4 linked regions of the Elephas maximus indicus genome follow. The protein of the gene in region 1 interacts with the protein of each later gene in a pairwise test. Links are inferred from orthologs where the notes say so. Each region holds a gene or a part of one and is shown in the gene's direction. Other genes may lie near its edges. The genes, in order: TMEM79, TNMD, PLP2 and RPRM.

Evidence for each region.
Region 2: the proteins of TMEM79 (region 1) and TNMD interact in binary tests that used the Homo sapiens proteins (3 or more experiments, as listed by UniProt). The two-hybrid records come from large-scale screens. The link is inferred for Elephas maximus indicus from reciprocal best matches to the Homo sapiens genes TMEM79 and TNMD.
Region 3: the proteins of TMEM79 (region 1) and PLP2 interact in binary tests that used the Homo sapiens proteins (3 or more experiments, as listed by UniProt). The two-hybrid records come from large-scale screens. The link is inferred for Elephas maximus indicus from reciprocal best matches to the Homo sapiens genes TMEM79 and PLP2.
Region 4: the proteins of TMEM79 (region 1) and RPRM interact in binary tests that used the Homo sapiens proteins (3 or more experiments, as listed by UniProt). The two-hybrid records come from large-scale screens. The link is inferred for Elephas maximus indicus from reciprocal best matches to the Homo sapiens genes TMEM79 and RPRM.

Annotation. Positions count from the first base shown.
Region 1 is NC_064821.1:194,075,807-194,084,046, forward strand, and holds the start of TMEM79 (transmembrane protein 79), read left to right. Parts: upstream 1-4,908; 5' UTR 4,909-5,017; intron 5,018-5,800; 5' UTR 5,801-5,843; coding exon 5,844-6,591; intron 6,592-6,895; coding exon 6,896-7,109; intron 7,110-8,240. Other genes in the region: nonsense-mediated mRNA decay factor SMG5, read right to left, coding at 3,302-3,375.
Region 2 is NC_064846.1:57,742,323-57,750,025, reverse strand, and holds the start of TNMD (tenomodulin), read left to right. Parts: upstream 1-4,257; 5' UTR 4,258-4,383; coding exon 4,384-4,575; intron 4,576-4,783; coding exon 4,784-4,885; intron 4,886-7,703. UniProt on the Homo sapiens protein: May be an angiogenesis inhibitor.
Region 3 is NC_064846.1:122,413,021-122,420,944, reverse strand, and holds PLP2 (proteolipid protein 2), read left to right. Parts: upstream 1-4,456; 5' UTR 4,457-4,560; coding exon 4,561-4,656; intron 4,657-5,724; coding exon 5,725-5,886; intron 5,887-5,987; coding exon 5,988-6,083; intron 6,084-6,656; coding exon 6,657-6,747; intron 6,748-7,047; coding exon 7,048-7,070; 3' UTR 7,071-7,465; downstream 7,466-7,924. Other genes in the region: PDZ domain-containing protein MAGIX, read left to right, coding at 1-71, 753-1,075; PRICKLE3 (prickle planar cell polarity protein 3), read right to left, coding at 7,675-7,924. UniProt on the Homo sapiens protein: May play a role in cell differentiation in the intestinal epithelium.
Region 4 is NC_064824.1:50,633,634-50,640,724, reverse strand, and holds RPRM (protein reprimo), read left to right. Parts: upstream 1-5,371; 5' UTR 5,372-5,571; coding exon 5,572-5,901; 3' UTR 5,902-6,035; coding exon of another isoform or gene 6,036-6,068; 3' UTR 6,069-6,479; downstream 6,480-7,091. UniProt on the Homo sapiens protein: May be involved in the regulation of p53-dependent G2 arrest of the cell cycle. Seems to induce cell cycle arrest by inhibiting CDK1 activity and nuclear translocation of the CDC2 cyclin B1 complex.

The DNA of each region.
Region 1 (8,240 bases):
TTTAAGCCTTAGTTACCACCATCAATAAAAATGAAAATAATAGCAGCTATCTCAGAGGACTGTTGTGAAGATAGAATAAAATAATTTATATACCACACTGGTATACCATAGGCATCCAATAAATGATGGCGGAATGAGTAAATCATTATTATGCACGGGGTTATTATCTGACATAAAGGGAAGGCATCCCTTGTATAAAATTCTGCTTTGAAATAGTGGGGCATGGAAAAGTAGGAGGGGACTCTTGAGTGGCTTATTTGTAAGGTGGACTGTCCATTTCACCACTCAACCTAGTCTGCTGGATTCTACTAAAGGAATTGTTTAGCATACTGTTAAGAGTGAAGGCTCTGGAACCAGACTGCCTGGGTTCAAATCCTGGCTCTACTTCTGTCCAGCTAAGCAGCTAAGTGGTCCTGGGCAAAATACCTAACCTCTTTATCTTTCAGTTCTTCCATCTATAAAATGGGGATAATAGCATCATCTAGCTTGTAAGAATTACATTAGCCAATATACACAAAGCACTCAAAACAGCACCTGGACATAATAAGTGCTCAATAAGTGTTAGTCTCCATCCTTCTAAGGCTCAAGCCCTGAGAAGTAAGTTTGTCATCACAGCAAATAAAAGGCCAAGGAAAGTCTACAATCGAAAGCCAAAAAGTCCCAGAGGTAGATGACATCTCCAGAAGGGTAAAACCAAGAGCATGATAGGCACCAATAGGTGAATCAGGCATATATGTGGAAATAAAAGCAACCAAAAAACTGGGAGTGATGATTCCCAAAACAAACTAAACTGTGTTCCTGGGCTGGGGCGGCTTAGGTGGAACACCACTAAAAGCTGTCCTGTAAAGGACAAAGTGACCACCAGCACCCAGCTGAGTGAGTGGGACAGTAATCAAGGCCTTCTCACAGGCAATCTGAGAACTCAGCATTTCTCCAAAAACCTTTTGGGCTGCCTAGAGATGGCAGCCAAACCCTTTTAGCCAGCCTGGCCCTCGGTGCCAGGGACAGCATCTGGCAGCCATCAGTGATTTACTCCATGCCAGCTTAGTCCCCAGGCAGGGCTTCTCGACCTCAATGCCATGGAGAGATCTAAGGTGTTGGTGGTATGTGTTTGTGTTTATGGAGAGGCTCCAGAGCGCTCCTTAGACTTCTCAATCCAAAAATGGTTAATAATCACTACTCTAAGAAGTTCCAATTACAAGATCTCAAATCTGAAAGGGTTCAGCAGTCTTTTCCCCACTCCTCATCAGACCATAAGCTCCTTCCACTAAATTGTTTGTACAGAAACCAGTATTATGACTCATTCACTACTGTAATCCCAGGCTTAACACGGTGTTAATATTTTTTAAATGCTGAAAAAAGAAATAATTAATTTGCCTAATTAATTGGTGCTTTTATTTGTTTCAGAGCCCTGGTGGTACAATGGTTAAGAGCTCAGGCTGCTAATCAAACCGTCAGCAGTTCGAACCCACCAGCTGCTCCTTGGAAGCCCTATGGGGCAGTTCTACTTTGTCCTGTAGGGTTGCTATGAATCGGAAACAACTGGATGGCAATGGGTTTTCTGGTTTTATCCATTCCAGCATCCCTTCTCCTGTTGCCTTTTGAGTGCTTAAAACATTTCAGAATTTTATTTGAGTAAACAACTAGGTTGTGGGAGTTTCCCAAATTTACTGGAGTGTGAGTGGCAGCTTTATAGTCTAACAAGTTTATCTTGGGCAGAGAAGTCAGATCTTCCTTCGCTAGTTTCCTTCCACCAATCGCCCTTGCTATAATAAACAATAAAAACAGAGACGGGCTACCTCAAATTTCCACACTGCTCAAAGCCAACAACATGCAACTGCAGGTACAAATACCCATGTGCACACATGGAAACCACACGCACAAACACACCAGCTTAAGTCAGCTAAGACCTGTGAAGGTAGTGGCTTGAGAAAGAACTAGATTTGAGAATGACAAGAAAGATGACCACAGCCATCCCTAAAAGCTGGAGACTAGTAAGGAATGTTGCAGACATTGCCCACGCTCTGTCTGACAGGCAGCGCTGACATTCGGCAGCATGACGAGGCACACGTGTCACCCCCAGCTAACTCCTTACTTGCCTGGGGACTGCCCGGGGCAGCCCACAGTGGGAGCCCAGGGGCTGCTGGATTGGATCACCTTTCTATTTTTGGAGCAGCCTATGCTCCCCTCTGCCTTCTGCCTTCTGGCTTACAAAACCAGAGGAGGCAGGATGCCTGCTCAGGGAAGAAAACACAACATGCTCTTGACCCTTTCACTGCCTACATGGGGGCCAAGGCTCTGAAGGTAGTTTCCTCATGCAAACACTCCTGTTCTCTATTGCCTGTGATAAATGAAAACCCCAAGTTCTTCTCCCTAAAAGGGCATAAAACTCACCTCATTCTCTACGCTTCCTCCTATTCTGATCCAGTTCTGGGGTCCATGTTCTAGCTGCCCTACCCCCCAAATCCTCAACCCAGGCTGGGAAAAGCTCATACTGGCCTGCTCCCAACAGAGGCTGAAGGGCGAAGATGTGACGTGAGGAGTGGGTAAACACCGTGGAAATCAGAAACCAGGAATGGAAGCTGCCTGGCAAGGGACTGCAGTCATGAGGCTGGGGGAAAGGCAAGACTCAGGAGTCCCTGAGGGCCCTGAAGTGGGCTCCCATTTCCTAAGAACACCCTGAACCCAAAGTCCTTCATGGCCCTTCCTGTCGAACGCAACTAGCCTTCCAGCCTCTCTGTTCTCATTCAGACTCCCCAAAATTTATAGAGTCATAAATGGCTTCAAGAGCTTGTCCAATCCGAATCGCTCCTTTTAAGGACAAGGAAACCGAGACTCAAGGTCACACAGTCAGAAAACGGCGAAGCAATGACCCGAACCTGGCTTTGAGTCCGGGGCTCTTCCCTGTTAAGTCCGGCCCGCAGGAATCCCCTACAGGGTTCTAAGCACCGTTCCCTTCCGGGTTTTTCTCTATCTGCGGCCCCGCCCTCACCTCTCTAACCCTTCCAGCCCCAATTCCCAGCCTCTTACCACAAACCCGCAAAGCTCAGTGCCCGCCCCAAGTTCACCGCGGAGGGGATGCCTCCACGTGCTTCCCTCCAAACCTCCCACCCACCCAATTCCGCCCTTCAGCTCCATCCCGGTTACGGAGCCCCACCCCTCCTGCTCCCTCCAAAATTGCACCCTCCTCCCTCGCCCGCCGCCCAGCCCGGCACCTGGCCCCCGCCCGTCCGGGAAGCCCCGCCCCTCGCTGTCCCCCCACTTCCCTCGGCTGCTGCACTCACGCCCCAGCCCCTCTCACCGGTAAAGCCGCTTGGTGTGGAGGACCTTTGCTTCGGGCTCGCTGCTCTCCCCTGTCGGGGGGCCTTGGCTCATGGTGCCCGGGTCCGGGGACGGCTCCCGGTCACAGGCCCCCGCCACCTACCGCTGCCGCTGCCATTGCCATATCCAGCCGTAGCCGCAGCCGCCACCACCGCCGGCCCTGCTCGGCCGCCATCGCTGTGAGGACGCTGCCCGCGACAGCTCCTCCTCCGCCTGTCAAATCTCGCGATATCAGTCAGGCGCACGGTTGTAGGCCAGTGGCCGGCTACTGCCAAATCTCGCGAAACTCATTTTCCCTCCCGGGAAGTTGCCAGAACTAACTCTGGGCAGCATGGCTCCATTCTGGCTTCTCTAAGCGCTCACGAAAAACTTTATTGACAAAGCTTCCAGAGAACAGACAGTGGACTCAGGAGGCTGAAGCTAAACTGGATTGGGGCAGGAGAGCCAACAGCGAGGGGCGTCCCAGTGATCTGCCCTCATTCCCTCCCCATTTGAGCCGAGCGTCTTTCAGGTTACTGGTTAGAGTGACTCCAATTCTCCCTTTTTTCCATAATTAAAAAAAAAAAAGTTAAAATTTTCTTGGAAAAAGCCAAGGATCACATAGGAGTAAGTCCCAGTGAGACTTTTGTACAAGCATCGCGCCTTTCAGCTCCACCTCCGAAAGATTTTCAGCTTGCGTATCTCTCTCATACCAGCCCAGCAAACATTTATTGAATACTTGCTGTCTTCCAACCACCGTGCTGAGGACACAGAGGTGAGCAAGCTAGACACTAACCGTGGTCTCACAGAGTTCCAATGCCTTTAGGAATAAGATCGCACAGGAATGAAAAGCCACTTTTTCTCCCACTCGCTCACGTAGAAGGATCACCTGCTATCTAACATGGATTTGTATTGCTCTCTTAACCTTAATAAGTTAAAAAGCAAGGTGTCCCCGAGCCTGTTTACAGGTTGCAATGGGAACATAAATTTCCCTTCCACCACTATGCTCTTGGCTCCAGCCACCTGACCTTTCTGCTCCTGAAACAGTCTGTCCTTCCTACCTGTTGGCCTTTCACTTGCTGTTCCTCTGCCTGGAACACTCATACTCCTGATTTCCCATCAGGTCTCGGCTGGAATGTCACCCTGTCAAAGAGACTTTCCTTATTGAAATTGTCTTTTTGGCTTAGTTGCTAGGTTTTTTAATTATCTATCACCCCAATAGAACAAAAGCTCCTCAAGGACAGGGACCTTGGCTGTCACCTTGTTTTCTTCTGGGTCAGTACCTAAAATAGCATCTAGCTAATAATAGTTCAATAAGTATTTACTGAATAAATAAATGTACAAATTCCACCTCTTTTCTGGGCATTCCAACTTATTCCAATACCTGCGAATATACAAACCCACTCTTCCTCCTCTGCTTTCCTAGCTGGGAGCCCCTACACATCCCATGTACCTAAAAAGTGTACTGGTGCCTATGCCCACCTGCACCCCCACTTCCAGAAAGAATGAAGTCCCTCCTCTAATGCCTTTTCTGTCGGCCAATTCAGCTGGGCGGGGCCTGCTCCTTTAATCTGGGCCCCACCTGCTCTGGTCAGACAGGTTTGGAGACACAGGTAAAGAGAGGGAGACGGAGAGAAATACTTGTAGAGCCAGCAGGGAGCTGGGCAGCTCCTTCCCAGACACCGGCCAGGACCCTCCACCTGTCTCCAGATGGAAAGTAAGAGGGTGTCATGGGTCCAAACTGCGAGGAGGGGTAGAAGGGTCCTTGAGGAAAAGGAGGGAGCAGTGAGGTGCAGACCAAATGGCAGGGTGGAAAGAAAGGCAGGAGGAGAGACATGGAAAACAGCCATTATTAAACCTGGAAGTTGGGAATGGACAGACCCCAGCCCTGTGGAGGTAGATGAAGTAGGCCAGTGAGGTGTTTGGAATCTGACCAAATACCCAGATTGGAGCTGAAGGGACAGGGTGCCCTGGGACAGCTAGCTCCCTAGGACATATTTGTAGGCAAATCACGGGCATCCACTGCCACTAGAGTTCCACGTGGTGGTCTGCAGGGGGAAGGGCAGGTGGGAAAATAGGGGGGCAGCTTCTCTAGTCACAGGAAGGTCCTGGGTGGAAAGGAAGTTCTTGGCAAAGTTCTAGACACCTCCTCTTTCTCCCTTTCCTGGATTAGGGTGGCCATGACCCCAGGGGTTTTGGTGGAGTGGGGCAGAAGGCGTGGGTAGGCCAGCTGAGGCCATAACTGCCAGGACCTGTGCCCCCCTGACTCACCGTCTCCTGCTGGTTGGCATTTGGTGTCGAAAGGGAGCCTCCATTTCAGCTGCTCACTTCCCTTCCACCTCCCTCTGTTTCAACACCTTCCTCACAGCATGTTCTCCTTAAGGTCCCAGATGGGGCTCAAGCCCATCAAGGGTCTGTCCTGGAGAGTTCCAGCTCTGCCCGCTTGTCCTAAGGGCCAGAGGACAGGGGCACTGACAGAGCTTCCCTCTGCTCTCTGCAGGGTGACATGACCTCGCTGTAGACCCCAGAACTGAGGCCTCAGCATGACCAAACCTGAGACTGTAGCCCTGTTGGAAGTGAAGGGGTCCGAGGCTTTGGAAAAGAGCCCACCTCAGGCTTTGGTTCCCAATGGCCAGCAGCCAGAAGGGGAAGGTGGGGCTGAGTCCCCCAGAGCTGAGTCCCCCAGAGTGGAGTCTTCGGTTGGGTCTCCCATGGCTGGAGAGGGGACTGAGGATGGTCTGGACAGCACAGTGAGCGAGGCTGCCACCTTGCCCTGGGGGACTGGCCCCCAGCCCAGTGCTCCGTTCCCAGACCCCCCCGGCTGGCGGGGCATTGGGCCAGAGTCCCTAGAGTCAGAGCCACCTCCCAGGCCAGAGGAGCCATCCGAAGATGATGTGAACCTGCTGCCTGAGAAGGCAGCCCGCGCCTTTGTGCCCATCGACCTACAATGCATTGAGCGGCGGCCCCAGGAGGACCTCATAGTGCGCTGTGAGTCAGGCGAGGAGGAGCGCCGGGCCTTTCTGCCCACCCGGGCCACCCACCCTGAGCCCCCTGAGCGCAAGTGGGCTGAGGCAGTGGTGAGGCCACCTAGCCGGTCCTGCAAGGGCTGTGGGAGCCGTGAGGGGCTGAGGGCCGTGGCCTCGGTAGGGGCCGCCCTCATCCTCTTCCCCTGCCTACTGTATGGGGCATATGCCTTCTTGCCCTTCGATGCCCCTCGGCTGCCCACAGTGAGTTCCCGTCTGGTCTACACGCTGCGCTGCGGGGTCTTTGCCACCTTCCCCATCGTGCTGGGTGAGCTCGGGGCCCTTCAGAAGAAAGGGGACATCTGGGAACTAGACTCGAGGAGGGTGGGACCTGCTGGTTTGGGGAGCAGTTGGGTTTCCCTTCACTCGAGCTGGACCCCTCATGGCCTCCTGTGCCCTGCCACCTGTGTGTCCACCCATCTTAGGACCACCTCAGCCCCACTGTGTATAATCTATGCACTTTCCTTCTGTGGGGCCTGCACCCTCCACTGTGAACCCTGGCCCCAGCTTCCTGCCTAAAGCTCCTTCCTCCTGTCTTTCCTGACTCTGTGTGCTCCCCAACCCCACCCCAGGAATCCTGGTATATGGGCTGAGCCTGCTGTGCTTTTCTGCCCTACGGCCCTTTGGGGAGCCCCGGCGGGAGGTGGAGATCCACCGGCGATATGTGGCCCAGTCGGTGCAGCTCTTCATCCTCTACTTCTTCAACCTGGCCGTGCTTTCCACCTACCTGCCCCAGGACACCCTCAAGCTGCTCCCACTGCTCACTGGCCTCTTTGCCATCTCCAGGTGAGTTGGGACTGCGGGTGGAGCTTGAGGGCAAGGCAGTGATGCTAGAGGGACCCAGGCAACTGAATGGCTGGAGAACCAGGGACAGGGGTCTTTCTGGATTCTGCATCAGCCCAAATGTGAATCCTGGAGCAGTGAGTCCACTTTCTCCCTTGCACTTGACCTCACCTGGTAGTGGGTAATCAGCTCATATGTCTTCTCATAGGAAGCTGACTTCAGAGACATATATACCAACCTAGAACCTGAAGGGCATTCAGGCATCATCCTGACCAACCTCCCACCCGTTGTAGCCACTCCTCTGTGGCACTCTGGTCTAGTGGCCATTTGGCGTCTTGTTGAACACCCCCTCAGATAAGGGGCTCAATTCTTTACAAGACAATCTGTTTCACTTCTTAAAGGTCCTGATTGTTATAAAGGAGCCCTGGTGGCACAATGGTTAAGTGCTCAGCTGCTAACTGAAAGGTTGGAGGTTCTAACCCACCACTGCTCTGTGGGAGAAGAAACCTGGCGATCTGCTCCTGTAAAGATTACAGCCTGGGAGACCCCATGGGGCAGTTCTACTCTGTCACACTGGGTCTCTATGAGTCAGAATCGACTCGAGGGCACACAACAATTATTAGGAGTCCCTGGGCATTGCAAATGACTTGCACCCACTACTAATCAAAAAGTTGATGGTTTTGAACCCACCCAGTAGCACCATGAGAGAAAGGCCTGGTGATCTGCTTCCATAAAGATTACAGCCAAGAAAACCCCACGGAGCTGAATTCTACTCTGTAATACATGGGGTTGCCATGAGTCGGAATTGACTTGATGACAACAGGTTAACTGTTAGAAAGTTTTTATGTTGTGCTGAAAACTGCTGCCCCGACCCTGATCTCTGGAATTGCCTAAGGCAAATTCAGGCGTTTGATGACAGCTCTTAAACCCCCTAGCTCAGCACCCTGCTACCCAGTCTCTTTCTTTGCTAACTGCCCAGGTCCCTTCACTGTCCCAGGTCCTTTCCTCTGGGCAGGAAATTCTCCTGCTTGTTAATGGGGACCCTTCAAGGGCACTATCCTATTCATGCAAACCATGGCCACATTAGCTCTCATGGTAGCGTCATTACTCTCCTTTCATTCAGAGTCTGCAGTC
Region 2 (7,703 bases), on another chromosome or scaffold:
CACTATGGGCACATTCTTGTTAAGTTCCTTCATTCTCCTAAGGCAGCATTTGCTGAGCAACTTCAGTGGTACCAGCAAGGAACGCCTGGGCCTTCAAAAAGAGCCCTTGAGAGGCAGCTGAGAGTGGAATTGAGGCTGTAGAGGGAAAGAAGCTCAGGTGACCAACAGGTAGTAGCTAGTCGTAAAATCAACTCGACAGATATCAACCCCAATCTGTGCAAAATTGATTTTGCCAAGTATTCGACATTGCATCTAGAAAGGAATGGGGAGTATAGACGGGAACCGAGTCCCAGAGATATTCAGTGACCTGCCTAAAATCACACAACTTGTAAGTGGTAGAGTTGAGGCTGGGACTAGAATCTGATCTGGGGATTCTTTCCACTATTCTTCAGTTGCATTTAAGAAGGGGTAGGGTAGCGAGTAAGAAAAAACTTCCCAACCGGCTTGAGTCTGTAGATGAAAGAAATGGCTTTTTCTTGTTGAAAAAGAGGAATGTCTGTGCTGCTTATGCCAATTTTTTTCAGGGCTAAGAACCAGTGATTGAAGATGCAGAAGTCCAAGTTTGCGTAAGAAACAGTCTGTCTGCTCTATGTTGGTAAAGAAATACCCCGAGGCCCTTTAATTCACACAGGCTAGGTTGGTAATGATATGATACAGTGCATTCCCTTCCCTTCCTTACAGCCTAACACCTGCTAGCCAGTTATTCTGAGCATGTATTTCACCTTTGGAGGGTGTACCTCATAAACAGACAGTAAAGGATGAAGGTGGAGAGAGGAGCAGCAAGATTAATCACAGACTTCAAAAAACAAACCTAAGCCAAATGTCCTCAAATCCCTTCCAGGGCAGGCTAAAGCTACTTGCCCCCAAAACAGATCCATCACACTGAGGTCTGAGGCAGCTTTACTCTTTATAAAAAGCTTTCTTTTCTGGTCTCAGAGACTGTCACAAACAAAGGTAAGAAAACAAGACAAACTGTGAAAGAGGATGTTAGGGATCATTTGCTGCCTGAGCGGAGGATTTAACTAGACTGAGGACAGAGTTCCTGGGCAGGGAAGAAGAATGAGTTTATGTTGTTTCCATGTTTTGTCAGTGTAGCCTTTTTACACCTCTCACTGCCTGGGCTTAATCATGTATCTATCTCATTTCACCTCGGAATCATATGCCACTCCATTGGCTTTCCTGCCCCACTCCAGTATTCTGATTCTTATAGTTAAGGCCAGCCTTATGTGTGGGTGGAATACATGCCCATTTGAGAGGTGCTGGAAAGATGCCTCACCACCAAAATATTTCCTACTTCTGGTGTCGCAGTGCCTAAAATCCACCATTAGCAATTCATTCCTTTGAGTTCAATATTGCCTCCAATTTTTTTCACAGACAAATATCCGCCACTAACATCTTAGTGTAAAATTATTTGTCAAATTGATTTCTTCTTTGACAGAAGAGACCTGAAGCACCATGAGATTCCTAGGTGTCTAGACAGGAGGCAAAGGGGCTGAGGGAGATGGGAAGAGGAGGGGGAAGGGCTAGAAAGGTACAGAGTGAGCAGGATATGAAAAGAGAACAGAAAAGGGAACTAAGAAGCATCAAAGACTAACTTTCCTTATTTGCCAATTTGGCAGGAGTGTACTCTTCGTCACACTCTGTCCTTGCTCTGTCCTTCCTGGAATAAAACTGCGTTGAGGTCAGAGTCTGAGAGGAGCTACTGGTAGACCACTCCCACCTTCCTCAGGCCAGTCGTCCTGTCTCTGCTCTGGTTTGCTCCTGGAAAGGACAAAACAATTTATTCATCCCCAGAAAGACCCTCACCCCCTGAGCCAGGGAGCTTAGTAGAGAGCAAGACACTTCTGAGGCCAAAAGCATGAGCTCAGTCTTCATATGGGCCAGTGAAGCTTGCATAGCCATTACCCAAGCAATATGTTCCACAGGGACCCAAGCGAGACAGTATGTCTGGATTTGCTCAAACCCATCCCCAAGCAGTCCAAAGTGGGTCACCGGCATCATCTTCCTAGACAAAAGTCAGTCTGTTCCAAAAGGACACCTTTGATAATGGAATTCCATCTGGGTAGATATATATAGCCCTCACCCCACCTCCATCCCCCACCAAGGATTCACACATAAATGAAGTCATTCTGATCCCACTTAATTAACAATCCACCATTCCTAAATAAGCGGGTTGATAAATGCAATCAGAACGGACCCCCCCCTCAAAAAATTATTTGAAGGAATGTTGAAAATAATCAAGATCTGCTGAGCTTGGCAGTTTCCAGTAGTTTTCATCTAGCAAGGTGTCCAAGTGAAGTACATTGCCAATAGTGCAGGAAAACTCATTCCACAGAAGTACACTGAAGTTCTAAATGTCACCAATATAGTTCCATAGTCTTCTACTAATGATTGAAAGTACAGCCTGTATTTTCTCCTTTGCCCAGGTAGGCAGCATTCCAACATCCCCTAGTCCCTAACCTCATTTTTCCATGCAATAATCAATCAGTGGTGCTACTGATGAAACAAACACCCTACCCCGCCCCCCAGTGGCTATTGGTGTTGACATTTGTCTTAGCAATGGATAGTATTTCTAACGAAATTCCCCCCCTGTCGGGAGACCTGACAAGACTGGATCTGAAGTAGATGCCTCTTTCCTCTACTTAGGTCAGGCCGACTGAGAGCTCAATTTGCTGCCATAGGTAGAAGTCTCTCTTCTCAGGCTGGCTGCAGAGCTGGAACTGAGGACATATTTATAGCTGGAAGCAAATAACAAGCCTAAAGGAATTTGCTACCTGTCACAAACCAGGCTGCACTTCCTGAGGTAACTCTGCAATTGCCGAAGGATGCTGAATGAGGTTTTTCTTCCCCTTTTAAAATATGGTTTCTTAAAAGACCTTTGCCAATGCTCAAAATATCTCTTTAGGAAAATGAGAATTTGCTGTTGATAGGGAAAATGCATCCAACAAATACTTAAAAAAAAAATTTTTTTTTTAACCAAGTCCAAACCACCATCAGGTGACAATGACGTAAGTGCATTGTCTCTTGTTTTTCTATTCAGCAGCTAACATTAGACTTCTCACGCCTGAAGTGACACTTGTTTCTACAAACTGTTCCAACTTGTTTTTCTACCTGAGTTGGGGAAAATTTGACCAGGTTAAACTAACATTCAGTCACAGACATCAGCAGACATTAAAAAACAACCCAACCCAGTACGAGATCTAAGAGGCTGCCACTGGGAACATTAGAAAGCAATGTTGGCTCTCCACATCACTTGCTTTTTCAGGCTTTCAGTTTTCTCAATTTTTTGCTAAGAGAAAAAAATGAGTTTGAAGAAACTTGATCGCTGAAGGCCTCCTAACAATAGGGATAAGATAGACTTCCAAATAGGACCATCAGGACTGGCCTGGTTTGTGACAGGTGGCAAATTCCTTTATGCATGTTATTTGCTTCTAGCTATACATATGTCTTCAGATTTAGGTGATGAGCTTATTCCTAAAATGGGCTACTTTGTGGGACTGATCCTCTTGGTTCTTAGAAAGAAGTGTCTCCTTCAGAGGGCAGGCAAAAAGTCTGGGGGTTTTATTCTAACCACTCAAGAAAAACCTGATAAGCAGCTTTTCCAAGGCAATTTTCTTGGGAGACTTCATATTGCTTAGCTCAAGGCATTTGACACAGTTGCTGAATTCTATATAAAGGAGAAATCTCGAGAACTTGGAAAGAACTGAATGAATTTTGGCAAACAGAATTCAGGAATAAGCTGGGTAGAGTTGCTTCATCTATAAAAGAGAAGACTCAAGGAAAGCAATAAATGGCTCCAGGAAGTTTAATGGCCAAAAGGAAGGAAGCAGGGGCAGGGTAAGACTGCTACCTAATACTGGCCAAGGAGAATGGTCTTCAGACCTTAAAAAGGACAGATACAGACCAATGAGGCAGTGTTAAAGCCCTGGATAGATGAGGAGGGAACAGAACCTAACCACTCAAAATGTGTTCTAATCCCCCAGCTCTGGTGAATTTCATTGGGGTGGGGGTGAAGTGAGCACTGAGCACTTAAAGAAGGAAGTGATAGCCTAAAGAACCTGCATAGGTTTTAGGGTCATCCCTCTGCTTAACGCAAGGGGAAAATACACTACAGGCTGGTTTGGAGGATATTATTTGCTATTTAGTCAAGGCTGCCAAGAAAACTGTTGGAATTCTTAGTAATTAGCTCAGCAACTTGGCTTGAATATAAAAGCCTGGCTCTGAAGGGATCCCCATATCAGCTCTAGTGCCAAAAAACACCTCACTTTAATCTCAAATCTCAAGCCTCAGAGAATTCCCAATGGCAAGCTGCTGAGATGGTACCTCACTACAAAAGATCTGGAAAGAGAAGGCACCCCAGATATTACCCAATAAAAGGATCTTATGAAAGGACACAGTGAGGGTCTTAGAATTTTATTTCTTCTGTTCTCCCAGACCTACGACATGGAGCACACTTTCTACAGCAACGGAGAGAAGAAGAAGATTTACATGGAAATTGATCCTGTGACCAGAACTGAAATATTCAGAAGCGGAAATGGCACTGATGAAACATTGGAAGTACATGACTTTAAAAATGTAAGTTGGATTTTTCCTCCGAAGGCTTGCTTTAAAATATTAAAGCATTTAAGTCAAGTTAAAAATAGCCTTTAGTCTCCGTTTAATTTATAAGACAAAGCTTTCCCATTGAGCTCAAATTTTGCCAGCTGGGAGCCTTGACAGATCATGGAATTTATTAATTGTGGTTATTTCAGGATGTTTTGTTATTGCTTTGTCTGTTTTTTAGGGATACACTGGCATCTACTTTGTAGGCCTTCAAAAATGTTTCATCAAAACTCAGATTAAAGTGATTCCTGAATTTTCTGAACCAGAGGAAGAAATAGATGAGGTATGTAAGAACAATAATAGTAGTAGCAAAAGCCATCATTTATTTGGGTGTCAACTATGTGCCAAGTGCTACGCTAAATGCTTTACATACGTTAACCTCCCTTTGATTCTCACAACAACCCTATACATAGTTACTATTATTATCCCCATTTTTCAGATGAGGAAACTGGGACTCAGAACCCATAAGTAACTTGCCCAAGGTCACACAGCTAGTAAATGGGGTCTTGAACTCAGGGCTTTCAAAACACTGAAGTTCATGCTTTTAGGAGCAACACTGGACTTTTACACCTGAGTACCAATTCATATTATGTACGTTTGCTTTCAAACTAAAGATTTCTAGTAGAAGGGGTGAGCTAGAGGGAAAAAATCAATCCTGTCTAACAAAGTCTTAAAAAAAGTCCCAACGCCACTGTGGGTCTTTGCCACTTCTGTCACACTGCCCCATTTGCCTATTTTAAAGATTTCAGTTCATTCACCTTACCATTTTATGCTGGACTGCTAATGAAATAAGCCACATTGTCTTTAATAATTTATTTTGTAGTTAATGAAAATGTACACAGCAAAATATATACCAGTTTGACAATTTCTGTGTGTACAATTCAGTGACACTGATTACATTCTTCAAGTTGCACAACCATTCTCACCCTCCTTTTCTGAATTATCCCTCCATCCTTAACATGAACTCACTGCCCTATAAGTTTTTTCTCCAGCCTTTGGAGTTGCTGTTGTCAATTTGAGTCCATGTAAATAGGAAATAATCCACATTTAACCTTACTGATGTTGTTGTTGTTGTTGTTAGGTGTCATTGAGTCTATTTCAACTCATAATGACCTCATGAGACAGCGTAGAACTGCCCCATAGGGCTTTCTAGGCTATAATCTTTATGGGAGCAGACTGCCAGGTCTTTCTCTCATGGAGCGGCTAGGTGGGTTTGAACTACCGACCTTTCAGTTAACAGCTGAGCATTTAACCATTGCACCACCAGGGCCCCTTTTTAACCTCACCAGGAAAGGTGCTTTGCTGCTAACCAAAAGGTCAGCTGTTCAAACCGAGCAGCCACTCTGAGAGACCCTGCTTCTGTAAAAGATTTACAGTCTAGGAGACCCTATGGGGCAGTTCTACTCAGCCCTATAGGGTCGCTGTGAGGCAGAATCAATTCAAAGGCATTGGTTTTGGTTTGGTTTTTGGAGGAAAAGCAAAGACAGTGAATACTAAGACCTATAAAAAAAAAAAAAAGAACTATAGTGTAATGCAAATTCTCTGGAAATATACTGCTAGGCCAGGGTGAGGCAACCTAGGGTACTGGTGCAATCACTTAATGACCCCTGAAAGGTGAGTGGGAGATTGGGTCATTAAAAACAAAAAAACATTGCCATCAAGTCGATTCAAACTCATAGCAACTCTATAGGACAGAGTAGAACTGCCCAGTAGGGTTTCCAAAGAGCACCTGGTGGATTTGAACTGCTGATGTTTTGCTTAACAGCTGTAGCACTAACCACTACATCACCAGGGTTTCCACTGGGTCATTAGTGCCTAAAATACAGCCATTAATGAATGCCCTAAAGCTGTTTATTTTTCCCTTGAGTTTTGTCTGTAATTACAGTGTGTTGCTATCAGTTGAGGGGGTGTGGGAAATTTCAGCTAAAGCCGTATTTTGACAGCATACCCGCTCTGTAACCAGGAAGAAACACTTTTGTTTGCTTGTTTGTGTTTGTTGTTGTTGTTTTGTTTTATTAGTGCTCAACTGGCAAATCTAAAATGGGATTATGGTAGTGGCACACTGGCCTAACTACACTGTAAATGTTTCTTCTCTCTTTCCCCTGGTTCTTTTTCACTGTCCTCTCACCCACCCCTATCCATGTGAATTCTCATCTACCTTTTTATTGTCTTTTTCTCTTCTTTCTTTGGGGTCCCAGAATGGGGAGGGGGGAGCACTTTTGCCTTTCCCTTGGCCAAGTCTCAGAGTTTTCACTGGGTCCCACAGGCATTGCTCTTTCATGCTACTGGTCTCCTCATGGCCAGAGAAGTTACTGACCTGTATTACTAGACTGTCCAAGAAAAAGAAGAAGATTTCGCCAAAGGTGATGCTCTGCTCCCAAGTTCCATGGCAGTGAAAATTTTTGGAGATTTTTTTTTGAAATAAGTATAAATTAGATTCGCCTGAGGAACAGACCAACTTCCAGGATATTAGAAATGACTATAAGAGGCAAGAGTAAGATGAAAGGAGAATGAATAGGATAAAAAGCAACTATATTCAATATCATGTGCTTTTTTTTTTTTTTTTTTTTTTACAGAAAATGATGTAAGCATTCGAGTAGGGCTGGTGAGCAATGAGAGCCTGAACTGATATAACAAGATGTATTTTTCTCTCATTTTGGCCCTAATTTATTCTTCAGTTAATTTTGTCAAACCTTCTAAGTGACTCAAGTATTCTTCTCATGATAGTAAGATTACTATACCTTCAAGAAAATCCTTTATATATGTACAAAATTTTTATGAGACAAATTTGTGGCCCTGAATAACAAAAACCCTCTTATTCTTCTTTCCCTCACTGCTGTATCCATGGTGTCTGCATGTTAAACATGCAGAGCAGGTATAAAAATAGCCTTGATTTTGCTAACAAAGCTAGTCAGCATACCAACCTCATTTTACACAATCCCTTCACAATGCATCCCAAGGTCCTTACAGACTCAAGGGCAAAGGAGGTTAGACTTGGGAGTTGTAAATGGCTAGAGGAAAAATTATACAAAGGCATATTTCAGGGACTAAATAAAAACACTGAAATCATAAAGCTAGAAAGAAACAAAAGAAAAAAACCT
Region 3 (7,924 bases), on another chromosome or scaffold:
TCTTGTGCTCCGCAGGCCTTTTGAGACCCACCCCGGCAAGCCTGAGGGGTTGAGAGGGCCCCAGAAAAGAGGTGGGGGGTGTCCCAGTGGAGGAGGGTCAAGGATCTGTGTGGAGAAGAGGGTCGCAGAGTGGAGGAACTGGAGTCCTGGGTGGGGGAGTGGTTGGCGGTCTCAGTGGCGAGGGTCAGCAGTCGGTGCCTGCTGGGAGAGGTCGTTGTATTTTCAAAACCGGGGCGGGGCGGCAGGGTCCCAGTATGGGAGTAATTGTGCTTTTCAGGGAGGAGTTTTCGAGGTACTGGGAGGGGAAAGGAGGGAAGGGGCCTGGGGTAAACGCGTGTTCAGAGGGAAAGATCGAGAAGGGCAAAGCATAGTGGTCTCAGCAGGGAGGGAATAGGGTCCTAGAGGGTAGGGGAGTCTGGTTCCAAAAGATGAGAAGTTGATAAGGAAAAGGAGCGATGAGACTCGAAGGAGGCCTGAGCGAAGAAAGGGTCAGGAGTCGTACAGGGAAGGGGTTCGGGTTTCCGAGGTCAAGGTTGGGGTTTGATTTCCTTTGAGGGTTGTGGGAAATGATTCCTGAGGAGGGTGTCCTGGATCCAGGAGGGAAAAGGTCTCAGTAAAGAAGGTGTCCCAACCTTTAGGGAGGTTTCTCTCAGGGCGGGAATCTCTGTCTCCGGCAGCCCTTGGAGTATCTGGTGGCCCTCAGCCAAGGTCCCCCCCCCGCCTCCCACCCCACCGCCCAGTCTAACCCGCAGTCCTGCCATTCCTAGATCGCAGCCTGGATCCTAGGGAACTGGAAGTAAGGAGGTCTTGCAGCGCCAGCGCTTCCCCACTTCAGCACCCTGGGTCCCGGACGACGGCCAGGACCCAGGGCCTCCCAGAGCCTAGCTCAGAGGCGGCGGTCAGCGTTGCAGCGGTTTCTCCTTCTGAGCGCCACACGGAAGACCCCGACGACCAGTCTCCCAGCTCCCCGGGACCCTGGCTGTTGCCCAGCGAGGAACGGCTCTCGCGGGCCCTCGGGGTCCCCAGGAGCTCGCAGCTTGCTTTGGAGACAGCAGCCGCAAGGCAGACGCACTGAGTGAACATCCGAAGGCCTGGTGCTCACTTGGTACAGCCCCGCCCACCGCAAACTAGCAAGGTCTGGAGAGCTCCCACTTACTCTGGTGCCCCTCCTGCTGCGCAGTCGACCAGCCCGCCATCCCCTTGCGGCGTTAGTGGTATGGCTCTTCCTGACAGCCCGCCCTGCGCTTCGAGTCCAGAACGGAGGAAGTAATAAAATAGTTTTATCCAGTCTGGACTTGCCAGGTACTCTAAGCAGGGTGGGGCTGCCCAGGCCACCCTGTAAAGGAGCGGTGGGCCAGACTGGTTTCTAGGTGAGACTCTTCTCGTGCTGTTTGTTTCATGTCTCCTGATGGGTGTTTGTTGCTGCCTGTCCCTAGCTGGGCATGCTCTCTCCACACTTCTTTTCTCTTCATCAACTCCTGCTCCTCTGTCCATTCACACATTTCACTTTTTTTGAGGCGCGCGGGGCTCACAGTGCGCGGGGTGGAAAATGCAAAAGTGGGCTTGTTGTGGCGGAAGTGCACCAGTATACCCGCAGCCCCCGCCTGGAATCGTCTAGACCATCAGCTAACGTCCAGATAGCATGGCTAGAAGCAGGGTGGCTTCTTTCGCCAGGAGCCTGCGGTCTCCCGCTTCCGGCCTCGTCTGCCAGCTTTCACTGGCACGTAGCCTGCCACGGCGGGGGAAGGGGCACGGGATGGGGCCCTGGAGCCCCCTTTGGGGTGGAGACTGGAAGGTGTGAGTCAGCGACCCCAGGCGGGCCGGGCTAAAAAAGGCTGTTAAAAACTTTGGGCCACGCCCATCTCTTCCATAGATGGTGACAAACTGCAGCGGACTGAACTTGTGTGCACACGCCACCCACTTGGCGTTCCGGTCCCAGGAGAGGCCCAGAGGCTCCTCCACCCTGGGAACAGAGCCCTACAGCCTTGGCTTACATGCCCAGCGGGACTCCAACCATAGTATCCACGCTCTGGCTGAGGCCAGAAATGACCAAGCACCTCCGCTGTCACCACATCCTGAACACTTGGTTCCATCCCCTCAACGAAAGAAGCTGTGGTCGGCCTGGAACAGGCAACTCTCGCCCCTATTGTGAGAGAAGAAGGGGAAGAGAAATAAACGGCCCTGAGTGTGAGAGTCCAGGGTGGCACTGGTGAGGAGAGAGCAGCTGAAGAGTCAGGCTGGGAGAGCTGGGAGTTGGGGGATAAATAGGTGAACACTGGGATGGTTAGTGTTGTAAACATTATAGGGGAGCATGTTGGGGCTTCCAGCTACCCCTGATTCAGCCTGCCAGAGGTGTGGCTCTACCAAAGTCAGGAAAGGGCCCCAGAGCCCCAGTATTAATAAACACAGTCACACCCAGGAGACTAATAATAGTAACCCCAGCCACCATTTACTTTGTCTTATCCCTGCTACAGGCTTTACTCTATCTCTTTTCATCTCCTTACATCTATTCAACAACTCTCATGCATTCATTTCGCAGAGGAGAGAAGATAGCAACCCTATAGAACAGAGTAGAACCGCCCGGTAGAGTTTCCAAGGAGCGCCTGGCAGATTCGAGCTGCCCACCCTTTGGTTAGCAGCCATAGCACTTAACGACTACACCACCAGGGTTTCCAAGTGAGGCCTAGAGAGTGTAAATACTTTGAGGGAGGGGTTGAAGGGAGATTTAATCAAGGCCTGATTCCCAAACCTGTCCTCTTAATCTCACCTGCATTTGACAAGTATTAATTGAGCCCCAACTGTATATCTTGCACTGTGATAGGCACTGGAGAGTCGGGGGGAACAAATCAGAAAGATTTCTACCCTTGCATAGCTGATGTAGTTCGGGTAAATAGATGTTAGACAAGAAAATGAATAAATAAAAGATAATTTCAGAGAGAAATGAGAGATATGAAGATAGCAAAAGAAGGTTATATTGGGGGAGGTAATGATTGGGAGTTTCCGGCCTCTTTTAACATATGACATTTGAGCTGGGACCTGAATGACCAGAATACAGAGGTATGAAGAGCTAGGGAAGGGCATTGACATCAACGAGAACAGCAAGTACAAAGGCCCTGAGGCAGCACCAAGCTTGTTCTGTTCCAGAAACTCAGGTATGTCCTCACAGAATTAGGAAGCACACATTCAGCACTGGAAAAATATGTTTCATCCCTTCCACCATCCAATCACTCAGCACCCTGGGCTTTGAGGGGCCCTGGATTGGGAGTGAGAGCAGGAAGCCCCTTGGGTTGAACAGTCTTGGCCTTCCAGCAATGATTTTCCCCACCTCAAATGAGAAACCAAAGTCCAGTCTGGAGAGCATGCCCCTAGGCACATCTCAGGGAATCTTGTTCTGCCTGACCAAGTGCAGTGTCAGATGCAGAAATTGAGGCTGGGCCAGGAGAAATTACTTGATCAAAGTAACACACTGCAAATGTCACCAGCATTATCACACCCCAGGAGCCATGCCCTCATCTTGCCAAGCCTTCAGCAATAAACCTGTGCTCCTTCCCCATCCCTCATCTAGATAGGGCTCAGCTGACAGCCCCTCCCCTAAGAACCAGGAAACTGAGACCCAGAATTTATGGCAAAGATATGCAGATCTAAGAACGGAGAATCAGATCCTGGGTCCCATGGGCTCTGACACTATTAATAATGTTCACAGCCATTTACTGAATGTTTGATACTAATCAGGCTATGTTCTCAGCTTTTACACACTCTCATTTCATCTCCCATCACTTCGAAGAGGTTTATCCCACATTCCACGATCTTTCAACTGCAATTCTGAAGTCCAAAAAGCTCTGGAAACCGACAGTTTTCCCACAAGTTTAGCATCATTTGGTTACAAAACCTGACCTGGCCTAACAAGGGACAACTTTCAGCCTTACTTACCTTACTTACTGTGAACGTTCATAACTTTCCTTGAGGAAAAAGAAACGTGTTCGCTTCCTTTTTTTTTTTTTTTAATGGGCAACTCTTGACCCCCTGAGAGTGTTAAATAGTATACTGTATATGCAGCAGGGAAACTTCCTCAAATTCGAAATATTCCAAATTCCGGAAACGTACCTAGCCCCGAGTCTTTCAGGTTTAATCTTGATCGTTTTTTACAGCTAAAGAAACTGAGTCACTCTCACAAAGTCAGATTCCACCGTTCTGAGTTGAGGCAGCCTCCAGCGCATTTGTCTACAAAAGGCGAAGGGTCTCGCGATTATCGCACCTGGTACTTCGAACTGCCAAGCCTCAAAGGCAGGAGCCCTTCAGAGATGGGGTGCCCCACGGCCTGTGCGCAAAGCGGGGAATATCCGTGCCGGGCGGGGCGAGGGGGCTTCCGGGGCGGCAGCCACCTGGCCCGGCCCCCTCCGGCCCCGCCCGCTTCGGCTCCGCGCAGTGATTCACTCCCTCCTTCTCCCCTGGGCCCCCTTCCCGGTCCGACGGCCGACACCACGGCTGGGTGTGCAGCGTCCTCGAAACTGCGAGCAAGCGAGTAGATCCCCTATATCCCCAGGGACTCCGGCTCACGCCATGGCGGACTCCGAGCGCCTCTCGGCACCCGGCTGTTGGATTGCCTGTACCAACTTTTCACGCACCCGAAAGGGAATTCTCCTGTTTGCTGAGATTGTGAGCGTCCTGGGCCAGGCTGGTGGGCAAACGTGGGGTGGGATGGCTGGACCACGCGGAGCCCTGCGGCCCTGTGTGAGGCAGGCACGTGGCCGGAGGTGCTCTGCAGTGGGGCGTGGGTGGGTGGGTTCCTGGTGGAGACCCAAAACTAGGGGAGCAGGGCGAGTTGTTGGAGTTTGGGAATGGTGTTCGGGAGTTCCTGGCCCACGGAATGAGGCGAGGGACCAAGAGAGCATATAGGGGACAGTGTGGTGGGGGCCCGCATGGACTCATCAAAGGGTTCTGGGGGGTTGGGAAGTGGTGGCCTCCAGTGGCAGGGCGTGGCGCGGCCTGGGCACTGGCGGGCGGGCTGGCAGCGCGCCCAGGGGCGGGGCTTGTTGGGGTGGGGCCCCTCGCGCTAGTTTCACAGGGGGAAGGCGCCCTGCCTTCCGCCGGTTTTTCCTCGTCCTTCTAGGACCCGGAAGGAGGTCTTTTAGCTCTCCGGGCCACTGGAGAGTCTGGGTTTCCCGCCCCCTCAAAGTGGACGCCGCCTTTGAGTCACTCGTAAAAGGGGTGCGGTGCCTTTTAACAGATCCCTGTTCCTCGGGTGTCACTCTCTCTGCTTCCAGAGGGGTTGCTGGGGAACCGCATATCCCCACCCTTCAGGGCCTTGAAGCTGGAGCCAGCAGTGCTCACAAAACACCTCACGGCGAGGACCCTCCCCTCATCCGTCCCTGCCCTAAAAGAGAAAAAAGGAGAAGCTGAGACACCCAATTCTACTCATAACTAGCTGGGTGACCTGATCAAGTCGCTTAACCTCTCTGTGCCTCAGTTTCCTCATTTATAAAATAGAGATACTGATAATACTAATAGTAGTACTAATACTACCCAACTTATTACGTTATTGTGATGATTAAGTGAGTTAATATTTGTAAAGCTCTTAGAATAATGCTTAGAACACAGTAAACACACAATTTAAGTGTTTAGCTCTTATTATTTGTCATCTTCTCAGCCCCGAGAGGCTTCTAAATTTGAGACCCCTCAGCCCTGAAAGTTTATCAAGGCCCCTTTCTGGTGTCATCCCTCCAGATATTGTGCCTGGTGATTCTGATCTGCTTTAGTGCCCCGGCAAACGGCCAAGCTTACTACTCCTCCCTGCCTGTGTTTGAGATGATCCTGGCCGCTGTCTTCTTTGTCATCTACATGTGTGACCTGCACACCAAGATACAGTTCATCAACTGGCCCTGGAGTGTGAGAAAGGGGCTGACTTTGGCTAGGCTGGGGAGGCACCAGGCAACTGGGATTATCAAGTGTGTTTTGGGCGTTTATGTCCCTCTTCTCTCTCCTCACAGGATTTCTTCCGAGCACTCATTGCTGCGATCCTCTTCCTGATCACTTCCATTATTGTCCTTGTTGAGAAAGGAAAGGCCTCCAAAATCATCGCTGGGGTAAAGGCAGGGCAGCAGCTCCAAGGCACAGGGAGAGGGGTTCACATTTCTAGGGCCCATTTCTGCCTCTACTTCTGGTAGAAAGTGTGTCACCCTTGGCAAGTCATGCTTGTCCTCAGGGCCTCAAGAGTCCATGCTACAGAAAAGTCTAACTCAAGCCCTGGTTTTGTGTACTCCCGGCTGCTCCTTAAGATCAGCCTTTGCTGTAAAGGAGTATCCCTTGTCTGACACAGGGACTTTTGTGGGAAGTACAAACAGGTGGCCCCTTTGTCAACACACTAGACTACCATCTGCTGGAACTTTGTCTCAATAAATGTAGTTTGGATGATGCCCCCTGCATGTAAGGCCAGGATGTGGCTGCCCTGTGTTGAGAGGTGCTAGGAGGAGGGAGAGTGGGGTAGAGTTCAGTCTCCAGGCCTTTTCCTGGGGCTCTCTGGTTTCCTAACCTGGGGCTTGATTCATCTACATGGGGCAATGATTGGAGGTGGTGGATACAAGGAGGTAAGAGGCTGAGTAGGCTGACCAGCCTAATCCATCCAATTACCCTCACTCCCATTCTCCCCTCACTCCCAGGTACTGGGCCTAATCAGTACGTGTCTCTTTGGCTATGATGCCTACATCACATTCCCCTTTCGGCAGCAAAGACATACAGCAGCCCCCACTGGTAAGTGTGTGTGTGGTGGGTGCTGAGGAGGTAGAAAGGGAAGGGGAGTGCTGAGGGGGCAGGAAAGGGAAAGGGGTCTCCCAAGGGCATGAATGCCAACTCTGTCCCTTACTGGTACTTATAGCTTTGGCCCAAGGCTTGTCCTTTCATCCCCCCAACCCCAGTGCCGTCGAGTCGATTCCGACTCATAGCGACCTATAGGACAGAGTAGAACTGCCCCCACATAGGCTTCAGTATAATTGTCTGTAAAATGGGCATATGGATCCAGCCAATGCTTTCTCTCTTTTCCTCACCCTGCAGACCCCGCAGATGGCCCGGTGTAGATGAACTCTCCTAATTTCTCTCTGCAACCTTCAAATAATGCCTCCATCTAATAAGTCCTCCCCACCCCCACAACAACATTCCCAGCCAGCCCCCAGTCCCCTATTGAGGTAAAAGGGCCTTTATAGGGAGAATTTGTCTTCCAGCCTGTCAATCAACCCTCTTGGTGTGGCCACATTTATGGGTGTGGCTACCTCCCCCTTTCCTTCTCCAGTATCCAAAGGGAGACATCAGTTCTGCCTGGACCATGCCCCACCTAAGTCACAAAATGAGTAGGGAAGGGCACGAGATTGTGACCCACTCCAGATCTCCTTGGTGGGGGGTTTCTATGGAGGGATAAATAAAAAAAGATGGTTAGAGAAAATATGATAATGAATAAATTAATCCTTTGATCAAATGTGGATAAATTTCAAGCATCAGGAGGGGGAAAATTTGGGGGGTGGTCTGGAGCAAGGAGGCAAAGAAGCCAGGCCTGTTTTACAACAAATATTAATTATTTCAATAATGCAAACACAAGGGAGGAAGGAAGGGGGCTTATGAGTCATGCTGGGGGTCCTCATCTGCACTGACTCAAAATGGACCCCCTCACCCAGGACTGCCTCAGTTTCAAGCCACTATACAGTTCTTGTCTCGGGCCTGGCGGGGAATCCGGGGGCGTGGGTCCCCGAGGGGCAGTGGGGGTGGGGAGTTGTCGGTCTCAGTTGTAGACTCCTGAGCCGACACAGGTCTGCACAGGTGTGGGGGTAGTGGGATGCGCTCCCCTAAGAAGAAGCCGTCGTCCTCTGAGGACTCAGAACTGGGGCTGGAGGGCGAGCTGGAGCAAGATCCTGAGTCCGACCCCGGTTCTAAGTCACAT
Region 4 (7,091 bases), on another chromosome or scaffold:
TAAAAAAGATTGGCAGTCTAGGAAACCCTATGGGCAGTTCTACTCTATCCCATGGGGTTGCTGTAAGTTGGAATCCACTTGACAGTGGTGGGCCTGGTTTTTGGTTATAACAGAAATACCACAAGTGGGTGGCTTTAACAAACAGAAATTTATTTTCTCACAGGTGAGGAGGCTAGAAGTCCAAAATCAGAGTGTCAGCTCTAGGGGAAGGCTTTCTCTCTGTCAGTTTTGAAGGAAAGTTCTCGTCTCCTCAGCTTCTGCTTCCTGGTTCCTTGGAGATCCCCATGTGCCTTGGTATCTATCTTACCCCATCTGTCTTGCTAGCTTGCATTTTTTTCTCTTTTATATCTCAAAAGACAGTGACTCAGGATACACCCTACACTAACCTTGCCTCATTAACATAACAAAGACAGCTCATTCTCAAATGGCATTATAAACATGGGCATAGAGATTAGGATTTACAGCACATATTTTGGGGGGACACAATTCAATCCACAATATTCTACCCTTTGGCCCTCCAAAATTCATGTCCTTGCCACATTCAAAACACATTCACCCCATCACATCATCCCAAAATCTTAAATAAACTCCAAGCCCAAAATCTCATCTACCGAATCATCTAAATCAAACATGGGTCAGAGTTTAGGTGAATTCCATCTTGGGGCAAAATTCCTCTTCATCTGTGAACCTGTGAAATCTAGAATATAAGTTATCTGTTTACAAAGTACAATGGTGGAACAGGCACAAGGTAGACATTTCCATTAAGAATGGGAGATATTGAAGGGAAAGAAAGCACAATAGGCATGAGGAAAGTCCAAAACCCGGCAGAACAAATTATATTAGCTCTCAAGGCTTGAAAATAATCCTCTCTTCTCTGAGACTATCTGGGCAATGGACCCATCCTCTAGACTCAGGGTGTTGGCCACACCTTTTGAATTCTGGGTGGAGGCCCCTCATTCCTGGGCTTCACCTCCTTCTTCCAGGTACTTTGGGATAGCAACTCTGCTCCCTTGGCTTTAGGTGGCCCCATTCGCCTAGTCCATCTGAGCGGCAACTCCATCTCCTAGGCCCCGGAAGGCTCCATTCTTCTGCCCCTTGGGCATGGCAGCTGTGCCCCCTCAGCTTTCAGTGGTAGCCCCATCTCCCTGGAATGCCTTAACGGTAGCTCCACACTCCAGAACTGAGTTGGCAAAGATCTGACTCTTTGAAACCTAAGAGACTGCAGCCCTGCCTTTTGAGATCCAAGAGACTATGACCCTACCCTTTAAAATTGAGAAGGCCCTGCTTTCTGTGCTCCTTCCAACAGTTCCACTGATCTCTGAGCTACTCCAGGGATGGTACTTTTCCTTTCTTGGAGGACAACAGATATAGCTCCTTTGGCCTGTATCCTGCCTGTAGATTCAAAGAGGCAGACAGTGTTCTTTCCTTTAGCTCTTTCTGTCCCCTTCTGTCTAAGCTGATGGGTTTTCTGCTGTGGTAGTTAGTTAAATCCATTAGTCACAGACTTAATCTCTGTAACAAAAGATTGTGTAGCCATGTCCTTGGTGAACATTCTAGGACATGTGTTCTTAGTTTGTACAACAGAATTTTCCAAGTCTTTAAGTTCCGTTTTCATTTTGCACAGTTCATTTTTAAGTCCATGTCTTTCCTCTTGCATTTTACTATAAGCGGCAAACAGAAACCATGTGGCTCCTTTAAGAGCTTGCTTAGAAATCTCCTCAACCAGATATCCAAGTTCATCACTTACAAGCTCTACCTTTCACCAAACGTTTGAACATATCTCATACAATTCTTTGCCACTGCATAAAAAGCACTGCCCTTCCTCCATTGTCCAATCACATATTCATCATTTTCTTTTAAAGCTTCAGCACAAGCGCACCGAATGCCCACATTTCTAGAAATATTCTGTTTCTGGAATTATACATATTCTCTAAGATGATAGAGACTTTCTCTACAGCTCTCCTCGTTTCCTTCTGAACCCTCACCAGAATTGCCTTTGAGGTCCATAATTCTACCAACGGACTCTTCAAGGCAATCTCATCTTTTACTATTAAAAAAAAAAAACTATTAGGCACCTTAAAACTCTTCCAGCCTCTGCCCATTACCAATTTTAAAACCACTTCTACATTTTAGGTTCTGTTAGAGCAGCACCACACTCTTCAATACCAAATTCTGTCTTAGTTATCCAGTGCTGCTATAACGGAAATACCACAAGTGGATAGCTTTAACAAACTGAAACTTATTTTCTCACAGGTTAGGGGGCTAGATGTCCAAATTCAGAGCTCTAGCTGTAGGAAGCGCCATATGGCACTGGGCTGGAGCTGTAGGGAAATGCTTTTTCTCACTACTGTCTCTGGAGGAAGGTACATGTCTCTTCAGTTTCTGCTTCCTGGTTCCTTGGTGATCTCCATGTGTCTTAGCATCTATCTTACCCCATCTCTCCTGCTAGCTTTCATTTTTTCTCTTTTATACGTCAAAAGAGATTGACTCAAGATATACCCTATACTAATCCTGCCTCATTAACATTTTACAAAGACAACCCATTCCCAAGTGGGATTATCACTGTCTTAGTTATCTAGTGCTGCTGTAACAGAAATACAACAAGTGGATGGCTTTAACAAACAGAAATTTATTCTCTTACAGTCTGGGAGGCTAGAAGTCTGAATTCAGGGTGTCAGCTCCAGGGGAAGTCTTTCTCTCTGTTGGCTCTGGGGGAAGATCCTTGTAATCAATCTTCCCCTGAATGAGGAGCTTCTCAGCCCAGGAACCTCAGGTGCAAAGGGTATGCTATTCTTCTGGCTCTCATTTCTTGGTGGTGTAAGGTCCCCCTGTCTCTCTGCTCACTTCTCTCTTTTATATCTCAAAAGAGATTGGCTTAAAACACAATCCAATCTCATAGATTGAGTCCTGACTCATTAACATAATTCCTCTAATCCTGCGTCATTAACATCATAGAGGTAGGATTTACAACACATAGGAAAATCACAACAGATGACAAAATGATAGACATACAATACCGGGAATCATGGCCTAACCAAGTTGACAGAGATTTTGGGGGAACACAACTCAATCCATAATAATAACCATATGCATAGAGGTTAGGATTTACAAAACATATTTTGAGGGGACATAATTCAATCCATAACACCTTACCGCTCTTAAGAATATACTCCTAAAATGGAAATGTTTGACTGGATATAAAACCTCCTATAACTCCAAAGGTCAATCATCTTAATGCTGACTTCTTACTAAAACAATAATACTGTTAAAAGTAACAACTATACTTGGTTTCTGATAATGATTCACCTAATATTTTTAGCAATATGTGTAACACAGATCCTGCCAAGCTGGATCTTACAAGTATACTATAAATTATGTCTGTCTTTTTGCTTGTGCCACATACAGAAGGTGCTATTCCCTTTCTATTTATCCTCACCCAAATTCTATTAAACATGAGACCTGACCCTGTGCAAGCTGACATTCCCAGAACCAAGAAGTCGGACTCTATTCTGTGATGACCTCTTGCTTTTCTAAATTCCTGTTGCATTACTTGCCTCTACCATTCTTTTTAGTAATGCTTTATACTGTCTTAAATTCTCCTGTAATTTTTTTCACATATGCATTGTCTTATTATTCCTAAGTATCATTCATATTAACTAAGATAGATTGATTCTATAGTGAGATTTAAGTAAATTCTTCCCAATTTCCAATAATAAATTTTTCCAAAGGAAATTGTTTGAGTGGGGCATTCTCACAGCTGACCTAATCATGAGAAACCGGGGCAAAAAAAAAAAAAAACGTAAATTGTGGTTAAGGCCCAGAAAACTGAGCCTTCTTTTAAACATCTCCCCGAAATAACAACAGCAATTTATTGAAGTCAGAACAGAGTGTACAGCAACAGATTTGGTTTATACAATGAACACAACACCCAAATATTACCAAATGGCAGTTCCTTCTATTTTGTGGTTGTCATGAAGTAGTGCAAAATCATTTGAGATCTCTGAACATGGAAAAAATAAGAAGGTTGAACAAGCAAATAGAATGGAATTGAGAGTAGAGTTGAAAATGGTCTAAGGTACCATGTTTCAATAAAAACCAGTAAATTCATGCTGTCAAAAGTTTGGACTGGGCTTCAAATTCCTGGTTACCAACTCTTACAGCTTCAAGAAAGAAAGGGAGGGAGGGAGGAAGTGGGAAGAAGGAAGGAAGAAAATAAAGTAGGAAAGAGAAAACAGCTGAAGTGTTCTTCTAAATCTTAGGAAATGATCTGAGAAGTGCATAAAACTTCATTGAAATCAGCACCAAAAACGTAATGAATGGGCTGAAGCCTCAGCCAGCCCCCTAAAACAGCTGTAGTTTAGTTTAAAATGACTAAGGGTGAAATACATCAGCTCGTGGAAAATGGGAGGGCTTCCAGAAGTCTGCCAGCGTTCGAGGTGATAGATGTTGATGAGAAATTCCCTTAAACGGATTTATGGCCAACAAACTGAAAGGCTGGAAGTATATCCAAAAACTCACCTGCAATTAAGATTGCAAGCAAGTGGCCACTCTCTCCACCTCTCACTCCCTTACCAGAGAAGTGACCCTGCTCCTGGCAACCATCTCCCCGCAGGGCCAAAGAACACTTCCTTCCTCTGACCTCCTTTCCTTACCCTCAAAAATCACTACAAAATCTCCCTTGCTCTGTTTCCCAACCGTTTTTGTGACGGGTAGAGGGCTCTTCCTTCCTCCCTTCCCCTTCTATCCTTCCTTCCCGCCTTCTTCCCTCCTTCCTCACTCCCGTCTTCTCTCTCTCCATCTCGTCCTTCTTTCCCCCCTAACTTCACTGTTTAGAAAACAAACAAAACTTTCAACTCACCCCCACTCCACTAGAAATGCGACACAGGAGAGAAGGCAGGCACAGGCAAAAGGACCGCGCATTTGCAAGGACCATCTGGCACCTGCGATTCATCACCACTTTGCATGCACTCAGAGGTGAGAAGGGCAGAAGGCAAAGGACGTCAAGAGCTGGTGTGACCCAGTTCCTCGGAAACTTTCAGCTGACCGCAACCCCTCCTCCCTCCTCTCCTCCAACCTCTTTAATCATCCATCAAGCCAGGAGAGTGCAGTGACCTCTGCCTGGCCTGAGGAGTGGGAGAAGAGGCGAATTGAACAAGACTAGGTTCGCCCCTTTGCTTCCTCCACCGCTCAATGACAGCAGGTGCAGAGTCACCGCGCGGCCGGAAGAGGCCGCTGTTCGCTCAGAGCAGCCGCCAGGGCCGCCGCCACCGCCCGCACCTCCCACGGCCCGGCTGGCCCAGCCCCGCCAAGTTCCAACAACCCCCCAGCGAGCGAGCTCCGGGAACAAGCACCGCCCGGGCAGAAGCGGACAGCGCAGAAGAGCCGGGCTGCTGCGAGCGTCGGAGAGGCTCCGGGGAAACTCCCACGGCCCAGGGACTTTCGAAAGGAGATAAAGACTAGACCCGCGCTCAAATCTGCAAGTGAGCGCTCAGCGGGGCACCTGTTCCTCCCGCGCCACCGCCTTCCCAGCCCTCGGATCCGCGCCTCCCGGGGCGCCCGCCTGCTCCCGCGATGAATCCGGCGCTGGGCAACCAGACCGACGTGGCGGGCCTGTTCCTGGCCAACAGCAGCGAGGCGCTGGAGCGCGCAGTGCGCTGCTGCACCCAGGCGTCCGTGGTGACCGACGACGGCTTCGCCGAGGGCGGCCCGGACGAGCGCAGCCTGTACATCATGCGCGTGGTGCAGATCGCCGTCATGTGCGTGCTCTCGCTCACCGTGGTCTTCGGCATCTTCTTCCTCGGCTGCAACCTGCTCATCAAGTCCGAAGGCATGATCAACTTCCTGGTGAAGGACCGGAGACCGTCTAAGGAGGTGGAGGCGGTGGTCGTAGGGCCCTATTGACCGGCCACCCGGCCCCCGCGGCAGCCGCCCCCACGCCTTCCCTCTTCGCCCGCCCTGCTGCGCCCTTTACTGTCCCAGACGGGGCAAAGCAAACCTGTCGGAGTCAATTATTTCTCTCGACTTCTGCCTTTCAGGATGAAGCGACCGGTTTTTCGCTCGCCCTCTGAAAGCTCTGGTGCCTGGCTGTTGGAAAAGGAGAGCGGCCGGACTTCTGGACTCGGCAGCAAGTGGCGAGAAGAGGGCGGTTAGGGCTCAGAACTTTGGAAGCTGCCGCTGGCGTGGGATGCGGGGAGACCGACGGGGCGGAGGCCCTTCTCCACCCGCAGGTGGGCCGAGCGCTGGGGGCAGGCGGACAGGGCGGGCAGGGGGAGACCCAGGGGCACCGATCGCCTGGTGGCCGAAAAATGACCTGTGTATGCGCCACGCAGCAGACCTAATGGGGACTCACAAACCCGTGTCTGGATTCCCGCCCACTCCCTCTCGCTCCCCATAGCCCTGGCGGGGAGAGGCGATAAATGCCTGTGATTGATTGTAATGTGTCGTTTTAAGGGATTTTTGTTTGTTTGTTTTTTGCTTGAATACAAATATTTGATAAGTTCTTTTCTGCCCGAGTAGTCTGTTTGCCTGCCTGGGGGTTAGAATTTTGTTACCGTGGGAGAATGGGTGGGGTAGGGGGGCCTGCGAATGTGAAAAGGGTAAGTTGTTTCTTTTACTGCATTTTCAACTGGCTCTTTCTGGGTGTGCTGGACCCCCAGCTGCCGCCTCGGTAAAGACCCGGAATAGAACTCATAGCTCGTGACTGCACAGTTTACGCCACAAAAGTGCTCTTGACATCCGTGACACCGTTTTTGACTTTTTTTTCTTAAGATTTCTTTAATAAATGCGACATTTAAATGTTTTGTGCCTGGCCTTCGGGTAGTCATTCTGCGCTCCCCGGCAGATGGGAACAGGCAGGGGTGAGGAGTGTGGTTGTGGGCCTTGGAGAGCTATGCTTCAATTCGTGGATCTGATGAAGAGGTGAGGGTTGGGGCGAGACCGAGAGGCCAAAGGACGAGTGAGACATCCCCAAGCCCCAGGCACAGGAGCCTTCTGAGAGGCAACAGCCTTCGTTTTCTCTTACAGAGTTTCCACTTTATATTTCATTTAAGCCAAGCATTCTGAGCCAGACGAGACGACATAAGGGCCCCGCG